Linked DNA regions of Nothobranchius furzeri. The protein of the gene in region 1 interacts with the protein of each later gene in a pairwise test. Links are inferred from orthologs where the notes say so. Each region holds a gene or a part of one and is shown on either strand. Other genes may lie near its edges.

The links. The genes of interacting proteins can lie anywhere in the genome.
Region 2: the proteins of hsd17b14 (region 1) and cyclin-dependent kinase 4 inhibitor D-like interact in binary tests that used the Homo sapiens proteins (3 or more experiments, as listed by UniProt). The two-hybrid records come from large-scale screens. The link is inferred for Nothobranchius furzeri from reciprocal best matches to the Homo sapiens genes HSD17B14 and CDKN2D.

The regions. Positions count from the first base shown.
Region 1 is NC_091745.1:6,243,959-6,247,831, reverse strand, and holds the end of hsd17b14 (17-beta-hydroxysteroid dehydrogenase 14), read right to left. Parts: intron 3,107-3,873; coding exon 3,040-3,106; intron 2,961-3,039; coding exon 2,869-2,960; intron 2,253-2,868; coding exon 2,130-2,252; intron 2,055-2,129; coding exon 1,987-2,054; intron 1,637-1,986; coding exon 1,540-1,636; intron 1,271-1,539; coding exon 1,124-1,270; 3' UTR 754-1,123; downstream 1-753. Other genes in the region: bcat2 (branched-chain-amino-acid aminotransferase, mitochondrial), read right to left, coding at 502-519. UniProt on the Homo sapiens protein: Catalyzes the NAD(+)-dependent oxidation of L-fucose, yielding L-fucono-1,5-lactone, which rapidly converts spontaneously to L-fucone-1,4-lactone. Can also act on D-arabinose and L-galactose, with lower catalytic efficiency. Does not use NADPH.
Region 2 is NC_091747.1:71,357,671-71,362,236, forward strand, and holds cyclin-dependent kinase 4 inhibitor D-like, read left to right. Parts: upstream 1-1,963; 5' UTR 1,964-2,102; intron 2,103-2,418; 5' UTR 2,419-2,436; coding exon 2,437-2,577; intron 2,578-3,245; coding exon 3,246-3,602; 3' UTR 3,603-3,734; downstream 3,735-4,566. Other genes in the region: ap1m2 (AP-1 complex subunit mu-2), read left to right, coding at 435-593, 684-809, 1,077-1,152, 1,245-1,270. UniProt on the Homo sapiens protein: Interacts strongly with CDK4 and CDK6 and inhibits them.

The sequences.
Region 1 (3,873 bases):
TGTTAACTGTAGCTAGGTGGGAGACTTGGATGACACATTTAGAACATTTTGTTCACGGCGTAGCCACAAAACAACTCTTCAGTTAAACATGCATCAAAACGACGTGTTTTATATTTAGACACGTTTACAAAAAAAACTAAAAAAAACACCATTAAACAGTTTAATCGTTAGATATGATGTTATAAAATAAATAAATATTCTACATTGCAGGCCAGCCGAATTTTACGCAAACATTTAAATAATGAAAATGTTCCTACAGCGGTCGCGAATGCCAGTTATTTTGACCCCGAACACTAAAATTAATATTTCCAACTCCAGGTTCGGTTCTCCTTTTTCCAGCGAGCGGGATAGACTGCAGGCGCGTAATGCCAGGTGATAAACAGGGAACGTTATCTTATATTGTGGTTGGATACACATTTATCGATGAATCAAATTAATCTTTAACCCAGGTTATCAGTCAAAACAGATAAACCCCAGACAGACATAAGTGAATGAACTCACGGTCCGGAGAGCAGCCATCTCTTCTACGTAGCGCTGATAAAAACGAGATTATCCGTTCGTGTGGAAACAAACAAACTAAACATTAGTTCCGCCCAGCTGCTGTGGTGCCAGAAAACAGCAAGGCACCTCACATAAATACTCATACCAGGTTTATAAACAATATGTTACTGGTACTTGTTTTTATTTTAACTATTTACACCATATGTATAAGAATGCCAGTGGGTAAAAAGGGGGACAAAGTTAATGAGACTGTCAATTTTTAAGGCTTTATTAATGTTGAATGGTCTTAGCTAGGAAGTTAACAGAGGCGTGCCAAATGCATGGCATCTGATTGGGCTAGAGGCAGAGAGGTTACTGTAGGTCAAATATGTTTAATACTGATTGGTCTAGCATTGGAGGGTGGTGCAGGTCTAGTTACAATTGGCCTGGATGCCAACATAACCCTAACCCATAAACTCAACCAGGCAGATAAAATAAAGGGACACTTAATTTTTTTGCATCACCAACCTCCCTGTTTTATGAGCCATTACTGTTGATTTTAGTATGTAAACAGGTGATTTTTCAGTTTGAAAATAATTTCCAGCTGCTCAAAAGCCACACGATGCTGTAGAGGTCAGAAAGATCAGGACAGGATCTGACTCTTAAAGCCGTAGTTGAGTTCTGCCCCTCCGCTGAGCAGCAGGTCGATCCCGGTGCAGAAAGTGGCATCTGCAGCCAGATACAAGGCAGCAAGTCCACACTCAGCCTCTGTTCCCATACGACCCATCAGCTGTTGGGAGGAGAAAGCACATGTGACTGGTTGTACCAGGCAGTTTCTTCTGCCATCAACAGCTGTTCACACAGCTACTGCTGTTAAACAAGGAAAATTGGTACAAATTTGATATCAAGAAACATTCTGTTCCTCTATTCTGTCTTGTACAGCTGTTTGTTACATTAACACAAGGCAACTTCTGCTGCATCAGCAAAAATCATCTGCTACATGCTCTTGACACAAAAACTGTACCTAATGAAAAGCTTTTGCTACTTTCCTGAGCTAACCTGAGCATTTTCTCCCACTCTGATGGCCTCTGCAGCATCTGGCGTCTGTGCTGCAAGTTCTTCCCAAAGCGGCGTCATCACGTTACCTGGAGAGATGCTGAAACAAATCAGCTGTAAGCCATAATCATCACAGTTATAACAACTAAAGGCTTGAAATGTCTGGCTTTGCATGCACTGAGTCTATATCTCATTTTAGTTTCACCTTTTAAGTTGAATTACTAGCAGAAAAGAATTTTGCACATTAACTTATTTTTTTCTAATTTCACATGTAGTTTGAGAATCACGATTACTGAAACCGTTGCTAATTATTCCTCAAGCAGCAAGGAAATCACAAAAAGCCATAAATCTAAAAATAATGTAAAATTTCACTGTTTGGCTTCTTTAGCAAATAACATTATTACCCTATTGGATATTTAACTGGTGACATCAAAGAGAGGTTTGCCTCACCAGTTCACTCTCACATTGCATCGACTCTCATCCACAGCCATGGCCTTGGTCATGGCGATGATCGCTCCCTTGTGGAGGAAACGTTACATTACAGAGCAGCTCTGCTGGTTTTTAAAATATTCTTCTAGCATCTATTAACTCACTTTAGTGGCAACATAGGGTGCAGCATCTTTCTGACCAATTGTGCCCACAAGACTGGAAACATTAATAATGTTTCCCTGATGCTGGCGCAGGTAGGGTAATGCAATCTGCAGAGAGAGCCAGAGCTTTCACAAACACACACACACACACACACAAGCATGATGGGAAGGTCTTTGCAACAACGCAGGAGTATAAAAACTATATTATTACACAAATGTTACAAATCTAAGCTGTTATTGGGGGTAGGTTTTATTTATAAAATAAAAATGAGAAAAACGTAATTTCACATATGTGTCAAATTCTTTTTCTCATGATTTTTTGTAAGTTTGAGGTTTGAATAAACTTTATTAATAATTCAAGTTCTGGAGATGACACATTCCCTTTATCAAGTTGTAGTTTTGTTATTTTTATGTAATTTTGTTTTCCCAAATTTCATGAATCAGATTTTAAACTCCAATATCATTTCAAGCCTTCTATTTAAAACAAACGTCTCCATTATCAGACAGTTTGACCTTAAATCGTACATTTTTTAAAATGAAATTCCCACAAAGTTTTAGGACGTGACCAAATAAACTATTCACTTGAGATGTTTTGTATTTTTTAACTTTTCCCCCTTTCTCTTGCTCTCAACTCTGATATATTTTCTAAGGAAAAATAAATAATATTTTTACACTATTTTCCTATTCATAGGTAAAAAAAATTCCTGCTAAATTATTTGTTGACGCACGTATAAAACTTTACTTTAGAAGCCAGGAAGTAACTGATGAGGTTGAGATTCAGCAGCTCTCTGAACTCCTCTGCTGTTGTTTCATCGGTGGCTTTGTGAGGAGGGTCTGAGGATGAAGATGATCTAAAAATTAATCTGCAGCTTCATTCTCAAATACGTCTGCAAGAATCAAGAGGGCGACTCACGCCAGCCAGCGTTGTTGACCAGGCAATCAATGTGTCCATAAAGCTGCACAGTGACTGAGATCAACATCTGAAGAGACAAATAAGGACAAACTAATATGAATAACAACTAAAAGTTCACATTAAACAATTTCCTGTTAAACCATGGGGCCCACTGTTGCTGCAGCTCTTAAGGTTGGTTTATGCTTGACGCATCCGCGAGGTCCGTACGGCTCCGTGCGGAAAAGTTGCGTCATTTTGCGTCATTTTAACAACCACGCCCCTCCACACGGCCCAAAATTTCCGCAACGCGCACCTAGGAAATTTTCTAACCACGCAGACGGTCGGACGCAGAAAAACATGGCGGACCGGCAAGAACTAGTATGGCAGAGGTTCGTAAATACAGACATTTGTATGATTCAGCTCTCAGAGATCACCGTGATCAACATGTTGTTAATAATTCTTGGAGAGAAATAGCTCGCACTGTCGGAAAAGACGAGGACGCTGTTAAAAATGCTGGAATGCCGTGTTGTAAACAGTCATTGTTACTTCTACTATGGTGTAGTGTTGGATGCATGCCGTAGAGCTCCATGCTGCCCCCTACAGTTTGGGAGAATATTGGCTCACCGCAGAGACGAGCCGCACGAACCATAAACGCTGCGAGTTGTGAAGCGCGTTCCATCTGCGAGCCGCATCACCGCGCGGAAAGTGAATGTGTCAAGCATAAACCAAGCTTTATGATCGCATTAGAGACTTCATGCAGATGTGGACATGTTAACTTCATTAAACAACCAAAGAGACACGCATAAAGCTGTAATTCAAGGTGATCTGTGAAACACAAAGTGAGGGTCTTAAGGA
Region 2 (4,566 bases), on another chromosome or scaffold:
CGCCATTAGGTTTCGGCAGTGCTCTGCCTAGCTGTTAGCTCATCTGAACAGAGGCCATTCAGGAAGCTACATAAAAAGAAGACTGTAATTATGGATGACTTTTACACGGTTTTATTCATCAAAACGACCAGTGCTTAGAATAAGCATTGCAAATGCTGAGCTTAACTGTTGGAGCTGTTGAGTTTTCAAATTGTGCTAGCTAACATGTTACAGGTTAGCGTAGTGACTGGTTTTCACATTCCACACAGCCTCTATAAATCTCTGGGATTTCACCTGCAGGCCTGTTCTATGCAACATTTACAACATTACTTTGCTTAGTTCAGAGTTCTTTATAAACAAAAATGCATGAACATTACCAACACGGTTAACAAAACTGTTCCCATTCCACTCTCTCAAAAAATGTTCACAGGTAAACTTCTGCATTGTGTTTTTAGGCTAAAGGACAGTTTAAAAAACAGTCTGTGGCAAACAATGTGGAGGTGAGGGTCCCTGTCCCCAGCGATGCTGACTCGCCCAAGTTCAAAACCAGCACAGGCAATGCCAAATATGTTCCTGAGAAGAACCTGGTGGTGTGGACCATCAAGTCTTTTCCAGTAAGAGCCTTTTACATGGAATGAAGGGAACTTTTCCTCCTCTCTGTGTGTAGCCTACTTATTTATGTCTGTGTGGCTCCATCTGTGCAGGGAGGAAAAGAGTTTCTCATGAGAGCCCACTTTGGGTTGCCCAGTGTGGAGAACGATGAGGCGGAGGGCAAACCTCCCATCACGGTCAAATTTGAAATCCCCTACTTCACAGTCTCAGGAATTCAGGTATGTGTGTGTAGGCGCTACAGTCTAGTGCATCTGGAAGTGTTTGTTCTGGATCTTAACTTTGTTCAGGCGTGGTGTTGTTTGTCTACACACCTCTAAGCTGCTTGTTCTGCTCTCATGCCTCCCACTTCATAAACTAATGCAGTCAAGTCAGGTCCTGTTATGCTGAGTGGTTCACTGTGGAGAAACGCGTGCTAATTTGATTTAATGATGCACGCCTGTGTTCCTGCTTCAACACGCTTCATCTCAGTCATTCCTTTTGTCTAGGTCCGATACATGAAGATCATAGAGAAAAGTGGGTATCAGGCTTTACCATGGGTCCGCTATATCACACAGAGTGGAGGTACATTAGGGTTACACTTTTTCTAAAATATTCAAAAAAGAAAAGCAACCATAGCTTCTTTAATCTCTTGCATTTTCTCTATTTTTATTTAGATTACCAGCTGAGGACCAACGTGTAAAGCCTTCTGGATCTCCTACTGTTTTTTTTCACGTGTCCAGAAGGTCAAAATGAGCAAAATCATCACTTTACTGCACTGAAAGGTCTTTTAAACATCACCTGCTTTAACATTATTGCTTTAAAAGGTTTTATGGAATGTGTTTGCAGATTAAACTCAGTGTGTATTCTGTGATGCATCAACTTTATTTAAATTAAAATGAGCCCTGTGAAGCAAAAAATCATCAGTGGTTTTTTTCTTCCTGTTCTCGAGGGTTTTAAAGATTTTAGAATGTGTTCTAACACACACACACACACACACACACACACACACACACACACACACACACACACACACACACACACACACACACACACACACACACACACACACACACACACACACACACACACTCTGTAAATTCCGCCCAAAATTAAAACCCTGCACCCGCCTTTTTTACGCTGCTGAGGGAACCCACAGGATGAAAATCCGAATGAACTGCCCTTGGAGGACGCCAACGTATACGAATCGCCCGCTTTCTTCGCCTCGTGTCCTGATTGGTCAGCTGCCTCTGTTACTACAGCGATAGCGTAGTAACAGCAGCGCAGCCCCGCCTCTTTGACCATATTTGAAGGAATGACGTTGAGCAGGCGAGCTGTGATTGGTCAGTGTAGTCTCTCTCCAATGTTTGTAAATTGTAGACCGGGCACATAGCTGTTTGGATCTCAGCGCGCAAATGTCTAGTTTTAAGGTTGATAAACTTTCCACTTTTGAATCGTCTTTAAACGTAACCGCTCTGTAGGACCAGCAGGCTTTAAAACTCGGTGACGCGTCGGCTCTTGGCGAACTAAAGAAGGTAGGTTTGAAAGCTGTTGGACTGTTAGCTTTTAGCCAGGATGCTACTCGTTTGTAACATCTGATCAAAGTGAAATAAAACTATCGAGACGAGGAATGTTTAGTCGAACAGTGTTGTTAGGAAAACTTGGTTCAGTCGACCAAGTGTAACCACTGCATGTTTACAGGAGGTGTCAGCGGGGAGCTGCGGTACGTTAGCCGGATGCTGTAGTAACGTTAGCTAGGTGTAGCCGACTGCCGTGTCCCTGGCTCTTTGTTTTGATGAGACGCCGGTGGTTGTGGTTAGTTTTCTAACCTGGCCGTGTGTCTCACATCAGGCAGGAACAGAGACTATCATGGTGCTAAGTCAGATGGAGGCGGGGAAAGCGCTGACCGCGGCAGCAGCTAAAGGGAACACGGACGAGGTGCAGAGGATCCTGGAGGAATGCAGAGTGCATCCCGACACTGTCAATGAGTTCGGCCGGACCGCGCTGCAGGTGAGCGGCTCTCAATCCTCACGGGATTCCTGCAGGGGTGCCAGAACGGAGCTAAATATGTTCTCACGTTTCAGAAATAATCCCTCTGAAGGTTTAATGTCGAAGAGTAGATTATGCTACAGGAGATCTGTAATTTTAAATTAAACGACTTGTGATACTTGTCGGTCTGATCGAGCTCCATCACACATAGTGTAATGGTTCATTTACCTCCTCAGTAAGTCTGATGGTCACAAAGGACTCGGACCAAGTTGGAACAGAGAAACTGGGAGGGCAGTGACCCACCAGACTAGGATTAGGCAGTCTGATCAAGCTGTTTTCATGCAAGATTAAAAAAAAACTCAAACATTTTCAGCCAGTCACGCTCTTGCCTTCAGTTTAAGACATTAATAAAAAGTGATTTCATTTGGCAACCATGGACCACTATAAATCTTTTATTTCTGCTTCATATAAATTAATTGAGTGTGTTTTACTTTCATGCTAAATAAACTAGAAATAATTTCAGTTCCAGTAATTACAAATTAGTCTTGCTTATCCGCATGTTCTCTTAAGAGCTGTATGGAAAGGACCAATGTCTTTAGAAAATTGAGCTTTTATGATGACGAGGACATGTGGAAGTGACGAGTGACCAATGAGCCCTCATCATCTTCTTGTTTTTCTCTGTCCCACAGGTGATGATGATGGGGAACTCCAAAATAGCCAGTTTGCTGTTGGAAAAAGGAGCTGACCCCAACCTCCAGGACAGGCACGGCATCGCGCCCATCCACGACGCTGCCAGAACCGGGTTCCTCGACACCCTGCAGGTTCTGGTGGAGCACGGGGCTTCGGTGAACCTTCCCGACCACAATGGAGCGCTGCCCATTCACATCGCCATCCGAGAAGGCCACCGGGACGTGGTGAAGTTCCTGGCGCCGCGATCGGACCTGAAACACGCAAACACCAGCGGCCAGACGGCCGTAGACGCGGCCAGAGCTTCGTGTGTGCCGGATATGATGGACTCGCTTTTCGCTCACGTCCACAGTTCATAAGATTGATCTAAACTCAAACCTCACACTGTTTCGTTTTTGCTTTGAAACTTGAATATGTTGCTGTATGAAAGAATCGGAGTTATTGGTGGCTTAGCATTAATATGTGACACAGGACATATTGTCTTGGCAGCTTATTGTTGTGGATGGGTGGCTCTATACTGTAGACACCTTTTGCACAGTGCAGTTTAGGCACCTTAAATTTACATATATCTGTTTTCCCCATTACCGGGAGCGCACATTTGTAGATGGTTGTCCCAGTGTTATCTAATTGTTTTGATTGTGTAAGAGTTGTAGCAGTTCCTACTCGCGTGTTTCTTTTTAAAAACAAACCCTGATTGCTTTGCATAGTTGTTTCTCTTCATTAGATGAACTTAGACTTTCAATTCACTTATTATTTATTGTTGGAAAATGACTTAATATTCCCTTTGTGATGTAAATTGCAGCATTTTTTTTGTGATTTGTTGAAATGTTATTTATACAAATACTTTTAAGACAAAAGTGAGATTATTCACTTTAATATTTGCAGAAGAGAGCACAAAATAAAGTGATGAACTTGATGTCTTGTGTTTTTCTGAGCAAGTAAATACTTGTGGGGTTTGGTGTTGAAATAGAATCTAAATGGTTATAGGAGGTGGTTTTAACTCTGACGTGAGGTGAAACCTTTAAAAAAGTTTGTTAATAAAACTTCCTAACACATAGTTGTACAAGAAATGTCAGAATATATTTTAAGTAAAATATAGAGTAAAGTAAAGCAAGTGAACGGGCTATAAAAGCTACTTTCTAATCCACTTTACCGTACATCCTAAATCACACATACCGTAAATCCTCTAATACAGGCCCGGGCCTGTATTAGAGGATTTACGGTATGTTGTATATTAGTTTAAATTAAGAAAAATAAGTGAGTTTCGCCTTTGTCATGTACTTAAATATTTATTTAGCTAGTATAAATTCTTAATTAAATGAC